Neodiprion lecontei: one gene and its partner. The protein of the gene in region 2 purifies or fractionates together with the protein of the main gene of each other region. This does not show direct contact. Links are inferred from orthologs where the notes say so. Each region holds a gene or a part of one and is shown on either strand. Other genes may lie near its edges.

Region 1 (9,780 bases), on a different chromosome or scaffold from region 2:
TTTCGGTGATCATATTTTACAAATTACGCACACAATTTACATGGTCGAGTATTTACTATATTCTGTCGAACATAAGTCGAATATCCAATTTTTACACTGTGTTCATTGGAGCTGAAGTACTTTTTTTTGGCAAATTATTCTCATGCACCCTAATCTTTAAACTGTTTACTTTCGAAGATGAAATTCGTTTTATACCCAATCGAACGTGTGTATCGTGAAAATGTTAATGCCCAGCACCAAAAAAAAAACAAAAAAAAAAAACGACTTATATTCGGTAAAATGCGAAATTATAATAATAGCTGCATCAAAAATTATCATTTACATTCACAACATAAATGAATACCACTGATAGTAGTTAGCCAAAATTTTCAGCTGGCACATAAAAATTTCTTAACATTGTTATTTATTCTACAGTATCAGGGATAAAGAAAATCAAGCTTAAAATAGATGACAATAATTTTTTCCTTAATCTCACAACCACTTCAATATTCAATTCATCATGATTTATCACAAAAACATTTTGTATTCTGGCAGGAAAAAGTTTTAGCTTGGCTTGTCGAATAACCTTGCTGTGAAGTCTTACAACATGTTTGCATACTTGAAGCACTAAAAAATCCTCTACAGATTATAAATCTTGTAGGATTCGTCGGAATAAAATGTAAGCATGTGGTAGTGCCGTTATTTTTTGCAAGATAGCAGATTAAATAGTTTCATAGCAAATTGTTGAAAGTATATCGTCGTGATTTTTTTTTTTTTCTTTACACATTACCAGTAGCGCAACAAGCCAGATATGATTTTACTTTGTGTCCACAATTCGACGGTTTTACATTTGTTACAACTTTCTGCTTTCCATTATCTTACCAACTGATATAAATACACTTTGACAACTATACTCCATACGTATTTCATTAAGGCTGGATATTCAACCTTTCAGGTATAAGAATTGTCATTTTATATTTAGTACAGCAGTCAAAGTGGCACAATACCTAAATCCCTTCGAATATTTTACATTCTGTATATTTTATTGACAAAGGCAGTTTAAGCTTTCACGATTTGGGTCATGTCTTCTTCAGTCTACCAACGATCCACTCGAGACCCTGGTATAGCCTATAAAAAATTTTTTTCATTATTATCGAACACAGAGTGTTTACCTATGCTAATGTAAGCAAAGCATAAAACCAGGTAAGTTGATATATAGCCAAGATAAGGTTGTAAAGATGCAAGGACAAATATTGTATCACATGGTAGCTATGTACAGAATTAATTCATCTGGCAATATTCACTCCATACGAAAAATCGCCTTTAGTTTGAAAAAAAAAAAAAAATACAAATAATATTATATCTACGACATATTCTGTGTAAAATTGAAAACAAACTCAGTAAACAAGATCCGATTGTCAAGGATAAAAACAATTTCCATGAAACACTTGCCCTTCTCCTGTAAGTGCGCAACAAGTTTGTATGTGCCACTGGTGCTTTTTAATCGACGTAAGATCCAACTGCCGGGATATTTCGGCAGCACTCATGCTTCCCTTCAAGTCTTGTTTATTAGCATAGACAAGAACGTTGGCTTTGCTCAACTCTTCATGATTCAACATGGAATATAGTTCCTCTCTAGTAACGCTTAATCTTTCACGATCTGTACTATCGATCACCATTATAATGAATTCGGTATTTGTGTAGTAAGTTGACCAGGCGGCTCGCAAACTTTGCTGACCACCCAAGTCCCACATTATAAAGTGAATATTTTTCCAAACAACTTCTTCGACGTTAGAACCAATTGTTGGTGACGTATGGACAACCTCGTTCATCAAAAATTGATACAATATCGTTGTTTTACCCGCGTTATCCAGTCCAACCATTACGATTTTGTGTTCTGAAATAAAACCAACAATGTATAATTAATTATTTGTTTATGTCCTAGACTTGACAGATTTTACAAGCCATAGTTCAAAAATTAAAGTAGAATTAATTGTATCGTAAACCAATTCATGATTAGCAGTCAATTACAACACAGAAGGTATAGTAATTTGAGAACTTAGAAATAAAGGTCAACTACCGTCTCATATTTATGATTACACGTTTTTCAGGGTCTATTCTGATACACCAACATCTGTGCACCTGGCAGATAAGGTAAAACATAATAGGCCTGGTATGTAACAAAACGAAAAAAAGTCTAAAAAATGTAACACAAGGACATACATTCGATTTCAAACGAATAGCTTGTATTCTACTCTATTCGCAACAACATAAGTTAGTAACTACTTTCATGGATTTATTCAAGATAGAAGGAAAAAAATGAAAACCGATTTATAAACAATTGTAAGAATTACGAGAGTGAGCTTTTAAGCAAGAATAATATAGATTCAATCTTATAATCTACTGCTCAAAAATTATAATGTTGGGTGAATACGTAGTGACAAGCAAATAGCCTGACCTTGTGGCGCTAGTGAAAGTTGTGAAAGAAAGTATTCGTCGCATAAATAATATGCCAAGTTTCTATAGATCTACATATTGTGAAAATAGAGTTTCTGATCGTTCCATTTCTTCATTTGGCGAGTGATTCGTGACCACACTTTCGTGATAATCATATTGGCGAGAGGTGAATGACAAACGGATGATTAAAAATAAGGTGGAGTCATCACATTTCCAAAATTCAAAGTCAATATTGTCACTACGGATACGTAGTAGAAATGGCATTTGGAGGAGTTGATTTTCACTGCTTTTTTGCTTTTACAAGAGGTTTTTCGGGCAAGGAATAAAGACAGTTTAATTATCTGTCCCTGTGAAGGGTGTGTCAGAAATAGAAACACGTAGATTCTGAACGAAAGTTGATAGCGATTTATATCTGTAAGTGTCTCAAATGGGTCGTTCGTTGTAGACATGTGGTGTATTATTACTTACAATCACGAAAACGACTCGTGATCGACACAAAGGAATTGAATTGGCAATGGCATTGGGTATTTCGTTGCTTACCTTCGTTCCCAAACAGACTCCACAGTTTCGAGAATAAAAGTCCCATATTGTACAAGGTTTGAGCGTCAGGTTTTGTGTTTACTCAATATTTACAGCGAGATTATCTTTCAATCACGTAAACTGATCACTAGATACTTCGTGGCGTCGGATCTTGAGTTATATCTCATATTCACAGGGTTATGTGCAACTATTTTGGCTGGCTGTCACGACGAAACTGTATTAATCTCCGTTTCTCAACCTTCCTGAGACGCGGAACACGTCACAAATGTATACAAATATCAACAGGAGTAATACGAATGACGTTAAACGTGAAAAAATACGCAAGTATGCTCTAATTCAACGAGGCCAAAGTAAACCCCGACATATTGCACTTTCTCTTGTACTTCCTCAGACCCAAAAGAACAACCAGTCCCCTTTGGGAAGAACTCCGGACGATGACGTTATGCAGGGTTTCTGATCACTGAGTGGCCACGACCTTTGTAGTCTGTGCGCAGACGCGAGAAATGTATTCACCCGCGTAATCCTCGCGTTATGTGGTCTGCATATATACCGTTTACGCACTGATGATTCCGGCTGACGTACACGGCTGATTATCAGAAATTTGTCACCTTGGTAGAATGCTTCCTCGGAATTGAACCATCTGGTCAACCTGCTTCCGGTTTTCGGTTTGCAGAAATCTTTCTTCCATTGGATGTGGCAAATGTGGTGAAATGCAATGAGAAAACATGTTACGTCATTTCAGTTATTTCCATTACTCATTTCCTGAGTACAAAAAGGGCGTTCGTACATTTTTTAAGAATAAAAATTCCAAAATGAATTTACGAAGAATCGGAACGCGAATTATGGTTGAATGGTGTGGGCAGCGCCTTGTGATAGACAACTCAAATGACGAGTCTGTTGCTGGATTGCCATCGCTCAGCACGCCAGGCGATGATTCAAATGTTGCCACCTTCTTTCATAGACTTTTGCTCAGCGATGAATCACCGTTAACAAGATAAAACGATCGTACAAATTGAAAGTCGAAAATAAAAGGTTCAAGATTTGCGTATTTATAAGTACGTTGGTGTATTAACACGAATGAAAAGCAAAGAAAAAGAAAGCACCACGTATCGACCCTGGCCGACACATGCTTGCAGATGTCGCCGTATGTCGGTTGCACGACTTACATTGATGACATCGCAGACTTAATTGAACTGTCAAAATCCTAACCTACTGTTGTAAGCCTATAGTATAGTACGAGTTAATATCTCTTCATCCAATTGTTGAAGTATTAAAGTAAAATCGAAGTGTTATCTACCAGAGTTAGGAAATTTCAGAAAATCGCACCCAGTGCGTGAGATCAACCAACAATCGATTCTCCCGACCCACTGACTCGTCAACTAATCGATGTCGGGCGTAATCGGGTGTAATTGTGGAGCGTGACTTTCAAATTTTACTTGGAAGTGATTTTTGATAGGAACTGATGGCGTAATCACTCTCACAAATCGTGGCTCGATAGTTAACGGTGAGATAATTGAAAGTTAACGCTGACCTCGCTGGTTCGCCGATTGGCTCTTACGCGGTGGTCTGACTGAATTACTAACTCGGCTCTGGCCCGATCCGTTCATAACCCAAGACGTCCTTTGCCCGACGGACGCTCGTCGTATACGCCACTTGTTGCTAGTTACACACTTGCTTCGGCGGAGGTTTAACCTGTTTCGTGCTCTCTACAGAAAAATCACCATCATGACAGAGCCGTAAGTAACGATTACTACTTGCTACTACAGGTAATTACTAGGAAAATCGGAGTGCACGATCATGCATTTAATAGCCGGCGGCAGTCGCGAACCGTAGCTTTAATAATCGTCTTTCACATGTTTGACCTACTTTAATGCAACGTTTTCCGTACATTTACCTCCCGCGCGAATCACAGTTCCTGTTCATGTTGCGCTACACCATTACGAAACGCCATGTTCTACTAGTAATCAAAGATAATCGTATATCCGAAATGTCGGTCATAGTCCAGCACTGTAATATCCGGGCTACCTCAAGGGCAGTCAATGACGAATGCAGTAATTTATCTGCCATGCAATGTTACTACTACTCACAATTAGAAATTTTCGTAGAACACAAAAATTGTTTATCACCATTTATTGAATAAATTTTACACTATCTTTTGATTGAATTTGTTTTGAAAGTTCTAATTTTCTTACATATCTTGTTGAATGCCGAATGAACCACAAATGTACAGTTTTTGTTCATGCTCAATCTTGTCATTCTCATCTTTTTACAGTGTCGCTGATATTGCCCTTATCGGTCTTGCCGTTATGGGACAAAACCTGATCCTGAACATGAACGACCATGGGTTTGTCGTTTGCGCTTACAATCGTACGACAGATAAGGTGAAATCGTTCTTAGAAAATGAAGCCAAAGGCACCAAAGTAGTGGGTGCCTTTAGCTTGGAGGAAATGGTTTCCAAGCTAAAATTGCCACGTCGTATTATGTTGTTAGTCAAAGGTTCGTATCCTTTTATAACAGATCTTAGTATCATGATGGAAAAATTATGAACATATAACCAGCTCTAATAAAGGCAGTAATCGTAGTTCTGAAAACATTAGTGCTGATGACATTCAAGCCTAAAAATCACTTGAATTCTAAGGATATCGCTAAAACGTTGTTTTTTGTCTACATATATGCACATGACGTCACAAAGTCACATTTACAATTCGTATCGAGCTTAAATTATGATAATGCTAATGTACTTAGTAATCTCAATGGCTAGAATGTTTTCAGTTACATCATGATTGTTATGTAAGATTGCTTGAAACTCTCAAAAAATACCCATCGAGGTGAAACTTATACACCTTGAATTCGAATCATATGTGCGAAATTCTTCCGTCAGCAAGCAGAAAGCATCATTATTGTAACAATAAAGCACTAACCGGCTTTTAATATCACTAAATCTCGGTACCAATCAAACTCTATGAAATATTAAATTGTGCGAAAAAATGTCTGCTGTAACTTCAAAGCCTTCAGCACATAACAGTTAATACAGCTAATACAACATATAACACTTGTATTCTATTTCCAGCTGGTCCAGCTGTCGATGGGTTTATAGATAAACTGGTACCACTTTTGTCATTGGGAGACATCATTATTGACGGTGGTAATTCTGAATACCAAGATACTCAAAGGCGTACGGAGGAACTGGAGAAGAAGGGGATCCTCTTCGTTGGCAGTGGCGTTAGTGGAGGAGAGGATGGGGCCAGGTATGGGCCATCCCTCATGCCAGGTGGCAATCCCAAAGCATGGCCTCATATCAAGCCTATTTTCCAGGTAATTGCCAATCAAGGGCTAGGCGAATAGATATTGCTTTATTTATAGTTGGAAATTGCCTCAAAAAAATTTGTGTGTCTAGCGTCTTGACTCTTTGTCATAAAATTATTGCTGTCACTACTCAGAGAATCATGAATATAAACTACATTCGGGACAGTAATTCGAAATGTTAATACACTACGAATATTTCAGTCGATCTGCGCCAAGAGTAACGGTGAGCCATGTTGCGATTGGGTCGGAGAGACAGGGGCTGGACACTTTGTGAAAATGGTTCACAACGGTATAGAGTACGGAGACATGCAACTGATCTGCGAAGCTTATCACATCATGAGAAACGGGCTTGGTCTGAACCCACAGGAAATGAGTGACGTTTTTGGCGAGTGGAACAAGGGGGTGCTTGATTCTTTCCTAATTGAAATTACCCGAGATATCTTGAAGTACAAGGATGGGAAGGGCTATCTTCTCGAAAGAATCAGAGACACAGCTGGGCAGAAGGGTACAGGAAAGTGGACGGCTATCGCTGCCTTGGATTACGGGATTCCTGTCACGCTAATTGGAGAATCAGTGTTTGCAAGGTGTCTCTCCTCGCTCCAAGGTGAGAGGATTGAAGCTAGCACCGTTTTGGAGGGTCCAAACGCTGTTTACCAAGGAGATAAAAAGCAATTCCTCGAACATCTTCGGAAAGCGCTGTATGCTTCGAAAATCATTTCGTATGCTCAAGGATTCATGCTGCTAAGAGAAGCTGCTAAAATTCACAACTGGAATTTGAATTATGGTGGAATTGCGCTCATGTGGAGAGGTGGATGTATCATCAGAAGGTGAGAGAATTCTTTAATTGATTGCCACCCTCTCTGTAGATGCCACGAATTGGCCCGATCCAATTTGAAAGAAAAATCATCATCCTAAATGAAGGTAAACGTACGAAAATGGTTATCAATGTATTATGGATTATGATTACAGCGCCTTTTTGGGAAACATCAAGCAAGCCTTCGACAAGAATCCAAAGCTGACCAATCTGTTGCTTGATGATTTCTTCGCGAAAGCAATGAAGGAGTGCCAGGCGAGTGCTAGAGTGACGGTGGCAACAGCTGTAACTCTTGGAATACCGACTCCTGCTCTGTCGACTGCCTTAGCATTTTACGATGGGTTTAGAACAGCGCGTCTTCCTGCAAACTTACTGCAGGCTCAGCGTGATTACTTTGGAGCCCACACTTATGAGCTACTTGGCGCGGAAGGAAAATTTGTTCATACTAACTGGACAGGCCACGGAGGCAATGTATCTGCGTCTACCTATGACGCGTAAATAACGAGTTATGAACAGCGCTGGTAGTTGTTCATACCAAAAGAGAAAGGGCTCTCCGTCATGCAAGACAATTACCGGTTAGCTTTTATTCTCCCTGTCATTTTACGGATGCGGGTTTGTCACCAGTTACGATTGCTGAAATGAGGTGGTTTTATTTTTCTGCAATCGTTTTAGGATACAAATTTCTATCTTTTTTTTTTCGTCGTAAATCAAATCAAGTGCACTTTGTATGAAATTTGGATTGTAACGGCTACATTTAGGGCACTTGGAGTAATAAATAATCGGCATAGGAAATATTTATACGGTATCGTTTATTACTCTTAAGACTGTTGCAACATTCCGAATACATTACGAATACATATTATAGTTGTTTCATAAGTTTGTACATTTTGCGATAGTCATTTAAATTATAATATTGTAACAAAATAGATCAATGTATGAAACATTTGTTTGCAATATAATTTTAGTACGAAAATCAGTTAAAGTCAATCAGATCAGCGTATGGAAGCGGAAAAAGTGAAAATTTTAATCGAAACGTTGTTCAACTGAATAAAACTGTTTTATTCTTACTACTTCTACGCCCTGCAACATTTTTGCGTGTCCAGCCTATAAGCCCCGTTGCGCGCATACAGATGACACAATCATTTCGCCGAATAACGGTATAAGTCTAAATCCCGAAATTTTGTAATGAGAAAAGCAACAAGTTGATAAGTTCGCTGAAAGAATAATTAACCTAGGTGTAATAAGGCTAATTTCAGCTGAAGAATCGAATCTCATTAAGTATCTACGCAAGAGAAGTAATTAAATTTTACCATCTATTGTATATTCTATCGCTTTCATTACAGTACATATAATAAATTATTCCATATCTGCGCATATTTCTGACCGGTACCAAAATTACACGACCTGTAATCGATGGCACATAACGCGCACAACACTGTCACGAGCAAACCGGGTACCCGGCAGCTTTAACTGATTGTAAGTGATAACAATCTCCGGTTTACCGTTGTAAAAACTGTCGGCAGTTTGATGCGTGAATGGTATTGAAGGGATGAAATACGGAGCCGAAGTCGTAGACTCAGCGATGGTACATCACGTTTCATGTAACACATGTGTCACATAAATTGTACCGTTACGTGTTGCCTTTGATGTGTCGGCCCTGAAGTCGTTGAATTTTAGTTCTCGTTGGCAGCGTGGAAGGCAGGCAACAGCAGCCGCAGCCAGTATATTCACATTTCACTAGTAAAATGGCTGATCACAGAGACCGCGAGGCGTATTATTCTCAGTCGGATCCGCGTTCGAAGAACGACGACCCACCGAATTCAAGATTGTTTGTAATCTGTCATAAAAGTTTGGAGGAAGATGACCTCAGGAAGGCGTTCGAAAAGTTTGGAAAAATTGAAGATATTTGGGTTGTTAAGGATCGAAACACTGGGGAAAACAAGGGTAATTGGATAAATCAATAACTTTCACTAGCGTCTCATTTTCGGTTATTTACATATCATGTCATTTCACCAATTGCATATTTTCACCTCTCAGTATTTTCATCCCAACTGTTCTGCGTTTTGAATGCAATCGGAAACTTCTGTTCGAATGCCGCCGGCGTTTACCGATAACTATAGTACCTAGTGTGGCTAGCCTCTAAACTTTTCGACCAGTTTTAGAACTTCCGCTAATTAATACTTACACAACGTGATTTCGGCACCAAACCTCCAAATTATGCATCCTATTTGCACATATGGCTCAGATCACGTGATATTATATCGTATCTTACTAGTTTTAGTTTATCCAAATTATCCAATACTGAACCTTTATGCATTGTATCATCTTTTTATGAGAAGCTTTTCACTGCATACGAATTTTTATCTCGCACAACCCTACTGTGCCCTGGAGATTTTATTGATAACGTAATTTTATTGTTACAAAGCAACTGATCCCCTCAAACAATGTCTTACGAAATTTAAACGTCTTCAAAACATCACCTGTAATTAATCAGATGCATATAATTTAAATGTAGAGATTGCATACAATGGTGTCATCCATACATGAGTTTTCAATGTCGACTCTACTTTCTTAGAAATTGACCTTTTATCAGATGAGCATAATTATCTTCAATACTGTACTCCACCCACAAATTTAACAACTAAGTTTACCGATTTTCTCTCTTGGAAGTTGATCTATTTATG
Region 2 (10,037 bases):
AATCGCAAACATACCCGCAAGCCATGTTCCCGTGGGATTACACGCCTCGACGCGATGTTACAACCCTGTAACGGTTATATCGGGGCAATCAGCCTCTCGACCGAGGACGATCTATTTATCAAGTTGTTGTACCTGTTCGTGATTATTTTTCTGTAGAAAAATGTGAATTATAAACACGCGGGTAGTTTTCCTTTCGCTTTTCAATAAAAATAGGTCGAAAGTTGCTTAAAATATGATTCAAGTTTCATTTGTAAGTTCAGGTTTGTCTAATTTTTGTATTTTCAAAGATACCTCCCAGTAGCTCACGAAAGTACAATAATTTTACAGACAATACTCAACGTACGATTATCGTACGAGATAAAATTCATAAAATGAATCGATTTGTTTTTTTTTTTTACGAACCAATGTCAAACAAGCGTACAAATTAATTGCCTTGGCAAAATGGAGGGTTGGAAAAATACGACAGGTGGGTATAATAACATCGTTGGAAAACGGAAACCACGTCATCGAACGGATGTGTATAATGACACAGGGTGCACGAAACCCCATGATAGCTATGTATATATGTATACATACATATGTAATATATAAAACGTCGGCAATGCCTGGAACGTGCCTAAATTGAGATACTCTATCGCTCCAGAGATTGCGGCGAGCCACTTGACCGTGTAAAAGAGAAAGGGAATAAAGAGCAGACGAAGAAAAGGAAAAGGGAAAAGGAAAATGCTGACAATTGATTTCATCTGCTTTCATGGCGTTCGACTAATTCGCTTTCCTCAGCTCGAGAACAGCTTATATGAGGTATCGAGGCTTCGAGGAGTGTATAAAAATTTAACAAATCCGTTCAGGAACATAATCTCTTCATTTTTGAAGAAAGAGACAGAGAGAGGCGTTTATACGTCCTGGGACATACTTATGAGGTCAGATGGTTATTAAAACACAAAATTAAAATAAAAAGTAATAAAAAGGTGAGTGAATAAATAAACAAATGAATGAGGTGAGAATTATTAAAAATCAAAAAAAAAAACTAAAAAAGAGATAGAGAGAGATCGTGAGCAGTATTTAAATTCGGTAAATGCATGGGAAAATAATAATTCATATTTATAATTATTCAGCTTAAATACGTTGCTATGATTATTATGTTTAATGACAGCTCAAGGTCTCGAGAAACATAACAATTCTTAGCTTTTTTGATCAAGCTAATCAAACAAGAAAATGATTTTTCTCGTCAATAAAAGAAGATCGATACAGATTGGCAAAAAAGTATCGCATCCTCGTGTTTTTCGTTTTTACAGAATTAGCTGGTATTCGACAGTTTTTCGCCAAAGAGTTGAAGACAGTGAATGATTTCACAAATTAAAAATACAAAAATTGAGTATCGTTTCGAAAGACAATAAATTTCTAATTCATTTTTGTCATCTTTGTATATTAAACTATAGTCGGTAAACAAAACCGTAAAATGTAGAGCAGTTCCGAAATGGTTTGAGGAGTATAAAATAAAAGAAAAAAAAAAAAGAAAAGGAAATCTTATCGCCGCACTTTGAAAGTGACTGAAATTCGAATGACGGTAAAAGTACAAGTTGAGAACCGTTTGCCGCTTTAACCTGATCGCGAGCGAAAATATCACGCTGGCGCCGTCTGTCAACGAGATATGGAACTAAATCCACGTTGTAGAGTTGGAAATACAGTTGCCTGCCAAAGGCTTACTCCGCCGTAGGTTGAACGAGCGGGCCGCCGAAGGCATTAACTATTTTATAAGATAAAAATTGATCTCCTCGGAATAGAAACGGCTCGGTGTAATTAAACACCTTATACCCACCTGCGGGGTTTCAACTTACCAGACGAAAGGTGCGTTGAACCTACTCGCTTGCGATACGCAACGAGATACCGGAAATAGACGCTGCAACGAAGTATGTAACGAAATGAAAACTGCACGTATAATTTAGCGCAGCGGCGGGTGAACCGAAAAATTAATGCGAATTGTTGTTACACGGATGCGATATCGTTTGATGAGTAAATTTTGAAATTCGAGTGGGAATTTTTTCTGTTGCAAATCTACTCACACTTGCAGGGGCTGTTCTTCTTCCTTAGGGTCTGCATCAGGCCACCGGCGTAGCGACGTCCGTTCAAAAAGCCTGCAATTTTTGCGTCTCGGTGTTCCTGAGCTTGCGGTTCTCTCTTTTTTCACGTCCCTAGTCTCCTCCTGTTCACCGATTCATCGCTAAGCTCGATACCGCAGGTCCGAGAGCCCTGAATATCCTCGGAGTTTCGCCGCCTTAACCGTTGATCGCGAAAAGGGTGAGGATTCGCACGGTGTGTCACAGGCACAATCACAATAACCATACCGCGTCACAACCACCGAGCGAAATTTCAACCCCGTGGGTAAAAACAATCGAGGAATATCGCGCGCGGCTAAATCGCGGGACTTTCGCTCGCGGGGCCCAAAATTTCGGGCTGGCCTGAAGGCCCGATAATCAAGCCCGCGGCACGGCTGTATAAGCGTGTGGAAATTTAGGGGGATCTGACAGCTGCCTGCCGGCACTGGCCTTCCTTCCATGCCCGCAACCCCATTGATCAATAATACAGTCGAGCGGTAGTACCGAGCGGATCCGTCTCGGCATGCACGGTATAATGTTCGAACCGCGAAAGCGTCGCCTGTCCAATCCGCGTCTTCGACGATTGTTCGCGAATTTTTTTCCGCGAGTGAGAGAATTCGAGAGCGTGGATCAGCCGCGGCTAGAGACGAATTCCGCAAGATATTTCGGGGCGAGACGCCGCGCAAGCTGATTGCACCGGGAAATTACAAAATGGCCACTGCTTTGGCCCACGCGGTTTATTGAAATCAATTGGTGAAATAATTCGCTCCTATACACACCGCATCGCCGTAATACCGTTGCGGTGAATTCGACCGCTTAGCGATTACGCAACGCGGCTACGTTTGTCCGACGAGGTGCATTGAAAACGCCATCCGAAGGCGCGCCTTTTCTTCCACACAATTTCAAATTGCGTTCCAAATCACGCGATCCACGCCTTCTTTCAATTGTATACACACAGGTATGCTTGAGGTGGGTTGTTTCATAGACTCCCTGCACGCTGTCCGATTTATTTCCTCTCGCATTGTCGAGTCAACCACGGGAATATAATCTCCCGTTTTATCGCTCCGATTTTTCGCTAAATCTTCACGTATGCGCGTCTTTTTTATCCGTCGAGGAGATAACGGAGTAGATCCGTCGTACGCAGGTCACGTATAATACGTGTCGGTAAGTTACCGACCGCGTCTAAAACGGCTCGATCATCCGAATATCAACGGACCGCAAATTTTTGATTAAAAAATGGTACAACGATAACTTTAAATTTAATATATTATTGCCAGTTAGTAAAAACGAAAAAAAAATTAATAAAAAATAAAAGAAAAACACTGTTCAATCAAGTTTAAAGTAAAAAAAATAAGCAATGTTTGAAAAACCTTTTAAAACCACGACCAGGAATTCATCAGCTGAATTTAGCTGCCGGAATTTCCGCAACGGAATTCAAGGCGCTAGCGTAGCCGTGAAGATACGTATGCGAAACACAGTAAACGACGTTTCATATTGGATAGTGGGGAGCCTGCGTGGACTTTGGACCTTTGATGGCTTGTAATAAGACTCAACTTCTCTGATTAACGCGTTAGTCCAACGTAGGTCAGAAAACAGAAATCATGTCGATCGCCACCAAAGGTACGATACTTTCTTTTATTATATCAATTTCGGTCAAGTCCCCAAAAATTGTCTGAGTTGACGAATTAGGGCGTTTCGGAGGTTCTTCTCAGAGCCACTCGAGTGGCAGACTCGTCTCGACGGCTGGATTAACTCACAGAACTGTTCCTTTTCTCTGTTGGCTCAACGAGTGTAAACTCACCATCGAGACTCGTTTCGATCTTTCTATTTTTCATTTTTCCGTCACTCCCACTCATTGTCAGTCGAGGTTCTTCGATTAAACCTTTTATTCCTTGACCGATACGCGGAACGCGTTTGAGCCAATATTTTGACCGCCCGATTCGGAAGCATTTCCATTTTGATCAAGTGAGACTTGTTATTTGAAACTCATTAACTGTCATTCAAATTGTAACGTAATCTTGGCGTGACTTTATTTTAACTCGAATGATATATTATGTGTAATGTAACATGAGTTTGCGCAATGTTTCGAACTCTAGACTATGGAATTTTATATTGCGCCACAGCAAACGGAACGATTTTTTTTAACTTTATTATTTCATTCAGATTCTTACTTTACTCCAATTGACTTCAGACGCGAACTTCCAGAGATAATTTTGATCAACCTCACATTTTATCAAACGTTACGTGTGAAACGTATTATTCGAAATTGTGACCACGAGTCGTATTATTTGTTTAAGCTTCGTTCCGTTTGCAGATGTTCTTGTGATTCAATTTTAGCACCATTTTATCCACACCTTTTGCACGTAATAGAAATAATAATACACGTTGAAACGTATCGTGTATTGTTGTAACTACTTTTATTATCTAGAGTATTTAATTATACCCCGTGGACTTTGCTATGCTGAACGCGTTCCGATACTAGATATCAGAGATTATTTTCAATAACAACATAAATTGAAGATAAAAATTGCGTCAATGATTACACGTTCAAATTTTACAGTTCAAAATTGAGTAATCTGAAGATATTATTTCACATATTTGCGGAGCAGCGATCGTTCAATTTTCATTAATATTCAAACGTTTGTAACCGTTTGTTTTTAAAAGTAAAATACTACCGCATCCGTTCGATTTTTTTATACCTGCTAAAATTCACTTCGATTGTCGAGCTTGTGATTAAAAAAAAAAAAAAAAAAAATACCATCCAATCGACTACTCGGAATAACTATCCTCGTTCAATTTTCAAAATCGACAAAGCTCTCGAGATCATATATATTAATCAATAACCGTATTATCGTTGTTTAAGGAATATTCATCGTCGCCGCGAAGCGAACCCCTTTCGGGACACTGGGTGGTAAATTCGTGAACAAGTCTGCGATCGAGCTTCAGGAAGTGGCTGCAAAGGCAGCGATAACAGCAGGTGGATTGAAACCTGAACAGATCGACAGTGTCGTAATCGGAAACGTGTTGGTGGTACGTAAAATTTGACTCGCGAATGTTGCGTTGCGGTAAACGTTGTCTCTCCATAAAATCATCTCTCAAATCTCATTCCAACACGTTTCCAGAACACATCGTCTGACGGAGCATTTCTCCCAAGACATGTTCTCCTCAAAAGTGGAATTCCTCTGGACAGACCCGCCCTTGGAATAAATCGTCTATGCGGATCCGGATTTCAGTCCATTGTTAACGGAGCTCAAGTGAGTATATAAATTACGGTGTTTCAAAATAAAAAATAAATTTTTATAAATTAATTCCTAACAATTCACTCTTTCGAACGGTTGATGGTTATTTGAGGAATAAATTTATCATAAAATGATAAGAGACCTTTTTTGAAGAGCGTTCAATTCTCTGCAAAAATATTTTTGCGAGTTTTCTGTACGAAGCATCGTTAGCCAGTTATAAAAATCAGGAGGAGCAAAAACCATTTTTCACATGTCATTCTTATGGAAATTGGAATGTTAATATTAAGAGCTCGAATTATAACAGGTGTATTTTTATATCTAAATGAAACTTTTGACCCTTTGGTAAGAAAAAATTTAAAAAAATTCTTTTTTCAAACACTCTGATATAAATGGAGTACAAAAATAAAGAGATAGAAGCGCAAACTCTGATTTCGAATCGTTTTTGGTATTCAGAACATCCTCGTCGGAGATTCCCATGTAGTTCTCACCGGCGGAACGGACAACATGAGTCAGGCACCTTTCATCGCTAGGAACATCAGGTTTGGGACAACATTGGGTCAAAATTACTCACTGGAAGACAGTCTGTGGGTGGGATTGACCGACACGTACTGCAAAATGCCGATGGCGATAACTGCCGAGACTCTCGGCGCTAAGTACGGAATAAAGAGGGAAGAAGTCGACGCGTTTGCTCTCAGAAGCCAGAAGCTGTGGAAGGCGGGTGAGTAGAGAATCTTCGATCGTCAAGATCGAGGAGAAGCGCGAGGTTGGAGTTAGCGACTAATCGTCGTAGAAAAGATCCGCAATTTTGCAAAATTATAACGACCAATTTGAAGGGGTTGGTTGAGTTTGCAGAACAGAATCGTGTTCTCGTCACATTGCAGCCTCTTTGAAAATTGAACTCAAAGGATAATTGATGACTTGAGGTGTGATTCTTTCACAGCCAATGACGCCGGGTACTTCAAGGAAGAATTGGCCCCTGTCACCGTTCAGGTAAAGAGGAAGGAAGTCGTCGTCAACGTCGACGAACATCCTCGCCCTGAGACAACGCCCGAAGGACTCGCCAAGCTGCCGACTATCTTCAAGAAGGACGGACTCGTAACTGCCGGCACAGCATCGGTGGGTGAATTCGATTTTAGAAGTTCTCTTGAAGAAGGATAATCTTCACCGGCATGGTTGATGTACAAGCTCATTTTCTACCGAGTCTAGCGCCGTTTCGTTAAATGTTTGAATCGTTCTTCAGGGAATCTGCGACGGCGCTGGAGCCGTGATTGTGGCCAGTGAAGAAGCCGTCAAGTCCCAGGGTCTTAAGCCTTTGGCCAGACTCGTCGGCTACAGCGTCGTCGGTGTCGAACCCAGCATCATGGGTATCGGACCTGCTCCGGCGATCAAAAACCTTCTCAAGGCCACCGGGAAGACGTTGAACGACATTGACATTGTCGAGGTAATTTTACCCTCTCAGTTTTTTCCAGCTGGTCATTTCCGTGGAATTTCTACGGACGTGAAATCATTAGTTTCAATCAGAAGGGACCGAAAATCATGAAAAATTCGTATTGAAGCTTTACATCTGATTCTAATCGTTCCGCATGATTTGTACTTTTCGTTATCAATCACTAACCGAGTAAATCGGTGATCTCTGAAAGTGATAATACCGTTGGAACAACTATCCGAACAGAATCGTACTTATCGGGGGAAGGGTGGGGGGCAACTTGGGCGGTTTAAATCATTACTCTCAATTAAAAAGCTATAAAGACTTTCTGGTAACGGCTAGAAAACTAATTTTTATTTTCTACGTAGAACTATATTTTTCGATTGTGGTGAAAAATGAAAATAGTTAAGCACTGAGCGGTGACGGGAACTAAAAATTTCTCTCGAAAACAGATGACTGTAAAAAAAAAAAAATGAAAATGAAAACAAACAAACAACGTTTTATGAATCTAAGACTCGCGTATCAGGAATGGAATGTGAAATGGTATGACAGGTTCTTTGCCTTTCGTATAACCGAGCGATTCCCATGATCAATGCTTTTCCTTTTTGCCAGATCAACGAAGCCTTTGGTGCGCAAACTTTGGCCTGCGCCAAAGACCTTGACCTGGACTTGAGCAAGCTTAACGTGAACGGCGGTGCCATCGCCTTGGGACATCCTCTCGCTGCTTCCGGATCGAGGATCACCGGACATCTCGTTCACGAGTTGAGGTGAGTGATCGACGTTTAAACGTAGACTCGGCATTTCGATCGGTATTACGTGATACTGACCAAAGACTAATTTCTCGACTTCCTTACTTCTGCAGGAGAAGGAAGGCCAAGTTTGGAATCGGTTCGGCGTGTATCGGCGGCGGACAAGGCATTGCTCTTCTCATCGAGGCTGTTTGATCGAGTGTTTGATTTTCTTTAGGAAAATGCAATGCAACTACTCTGCACTAGCTGAAAATTTTTGATAAATGTGATCGGTTGAGTTATTGAAGCGCAATTTATACATGTTATACACATAATATAGAACTGTAATTTTTATACTTCCATTATACGATACAGTAACCCAATAAACAATGCCAGTATATAAAGCGTATGAAATTCGTCAAAAAAGAACGTTTTATTCTGTAGAATAAACGTGCAGCACCTACGTATTTTATTGCGAAGAATGTCCGCCGTGATTTCGGTTTATTAAACGTTTTTGGTGGACGTCTTACGATAGTTGTTCATATGCAAATTTTATACGTTTGAAACCAAACATTTATAAATCGTATCTCAATTTGTTGATAAAACGTATCGAAAATCCGTTATTTTAATATTTATGGTAATCGTCTAATATTTGGATATTGATGACTACTAAGAGACGTTTCGCAAGTACGTTTTAACACTCAAATTATGAAGGAAATTTTTTCTATTAAAATGTGTTGACAATGTCCGTTTAACTAACGTGACAAAATGTTTTCTGTTAATGACGCTTTAATCTTTCATTATTTATGTCTAAACGAATATTATACAGTGTTAAAAAACGTTTTTAATTGGACCTCTAGACTTGAATACATAACGTATCTTGGATGTGTAATTGAAAGCGTATATAGTACACTGCTATAGAGGAAGATCATTTCACGTTAGCTAGAAACAAGTCTGGGTTGAGTTAGAAAGCGTACGAATTTAGTTTATATATGTGAATCGATTTTATTATATCTTTGTTAGAACGTTACACAAATATCTTATATCTATAAATACTCATTTATCAAAAAAAAAGGTACATCTTGTAGCTCATAGACACAGCTCAACCTACACTATACTTTCGTCTTCACGGTAGTTACAACTAACAGAAAACGCTAAGAATATTACACTTATATCAGAAATATTTATATGCCTGTATGATTTGTACTTTTATATGACTGTTTTTAAAATTAGTTGACGTTTACCACAGTTTCTTAGCCCTTCTTTCGTACATAGGCATGCCGTGATCGAGCTAGTTTTAACCAGTCTTTCACGGCACACGAAACACTGGTTTCGGTTGCATCACCAATTTCCTTCTTGCCAAGAAAGGTTTGTTTCACAGCCTCTGAGAAAAAATACATCAAAAGGAAGGTACAATATCACGATATTGATAACTGATAAGGAATAATTTCAATGTAAATTGTGATGAATCTCGAATATATTGGGAAAAAAGTTAACAGTTTGCATAATTTGAATAATAATGTGTGAATAATATTGTTTTCACACGATAAATCCAAGTAATAACTGTTTCTCGAAAATTTCATGAATTATTCATTACCGTAAACAGTTTCCATTGTCAATGTCTTTTGAAATGGGACTTTGTCCCTCCCTGCCCAATTGAATTGCATCGCTAATTCGTTTGTGAGTAGTGACCTCATTATAGCCAACACACATTGGCGACCGCTTGTCCCTCCAACAGAAGCCAGTTTCCCGGTCTGCAACAAAATACTAAAATGAATGAATGTCGAATTGAATTCAAAATATTCTTACTGTTATCAACATCGATAACAATTTTGACTAGTTGGAGATTGTCGATTCCTAATATTTTTTCAGCATTTTTTAACGTTAACCCTCTCGATCAGACCGAGACCGATTTCATGTTGAATGAAAATCTCTCACCATATTGATATTTCGATGGGTGAAAGCAGTTTACCTCAGGGTTTAGGAGTATCTATAAGGCCATCTGACCTTGCTTAATGGAACTATGCAGTTAGAACCCTGACCTTGCGACCGATACAGTTTTATGAAGCCTCAAAGTGCGTGTTGCGTAGAAGCAACATACGGTCCGAGAGGGTTAAAACGTTACGAACCGCAATTCTGTATGCCTGTAGTAATTTTCATTATTCCTTTGCAGTCAACACATACCGAGCGTATTCTTCAATGAGAGACAACCCCCTCCCTAGTGCTAAGCCAACTCAGGCACATGACGCGTACGTGAAGTTCGGTCGAGTGGAGACTAACATGGCCACTGGCATTCTATCCCCTCCCGGCCGAGCCTCATGTGCCTGTGTTGGTTTGCGCTAGGGAGGGGGTTGGCCCTCATTGAAGAATACGCTCGGTATTAGTACCTATCCGTATGTCATGACATACATATTTTGAATATGATTGCAAGGTCTACTCACTAAATAAGTTCGATGCTCTTCGGATTTCAGGATATTTTCGAGGTTGGAGAAGTCTTCCATGGAGTTAAGAGGAAGTTTTGGGAATTCGGCTGGTTTCTTTGTTACGT

Evidence for each region.
Region 1: the proteins of 3-ketoacyl-CoA thiolase, mitochondrial (region 2) and 6-phosphogluconate dehydrogenase, decarboxylating fractionate together in Homo sapiens (co-fractionation; 3 studies listed by BioGRID). This does not show direct contact. The link is inferred for Neodiprion lecontei from reciprocal best matches to the Homo sapiens genes ACAA2 and PGD.

The regions. Positions count from the first base shown.
Region 1 is NC_060263.1:36,906,553-36,916,332, reverse strand, and holds 6-phosphogluconate dehydrogenase, decarboxylating, read left to right. Parts: upstream 1-4,201; 5' UTR 4,202-4,701; coding exon 4,702-4,712; exon of another isoform or gene 4,713-4,742; intron 4,743-5,248; coding exon 5,249-5,472; intron 5,473-6,046; coding exon 6,047-6,291; intron 6,292-6,483; coding exon 6,484-7,109; intron 7,110-7,251; coding exon 7,252-7,594; 3' UTR 7,595-8,166; downstream 8,167-9,780. Other genes in the region: ADP-ribosylation factor-like protein 5B, read right to left, coding at 1,059-1,107, 1,432-1,876, 2,977-3,022; RNA-binding protein 45, read left to right, coding at 8,842-9,040. UniProt on the Homo sapiens protein: Catalyzes the oxidative decarboxylation of 6-phosphogluconate to ribulose 5-phosphate and CO(2), with concomitant reduction of NADP to NADPH.
Region 2 is NC_060264.1:4,772,642-4,782,678, reverse strand, and holds 3-ketoacyl-CoA thiolase, mitochondrial, read left to right. Parts: upstream 1-3,572; 5' UTR 3,573-3,697; coding exon 3,698-3,716; intron 3,717-4,959; coding exon 4,960-5,126; intron 5,127-5,218; coding exon 5,219-5,350; intron 5,351-5,788; coding exon 5,789-6,053; intron 6,054-6,275; coding exon 6,276-6,451; intron 6,452-6,575; coding exon 6,576-6,776; intron 6,777-7,373; coding exon 7,374-7,528; intron 7,529-7,623; coding exon 7,624-7,705; 3' UTR 7,706-7,867; downstream 7,868-10,037. Other genes in the region: protein disabled, read right to left, coding at 2,064-2,100; uncharacterized protein LOC124294757, read right to left, coding at 8,743-8,873, 9,087-9,243, 9,931-10,037. UniProt on the Homo sapiens protein: In the production of energy from fats, this is one of the enzymes that catalyzes the last step of the mitochondrial beta-oxidation pathway, an aerobic process breaking down fatty acids into acetyl-CoA.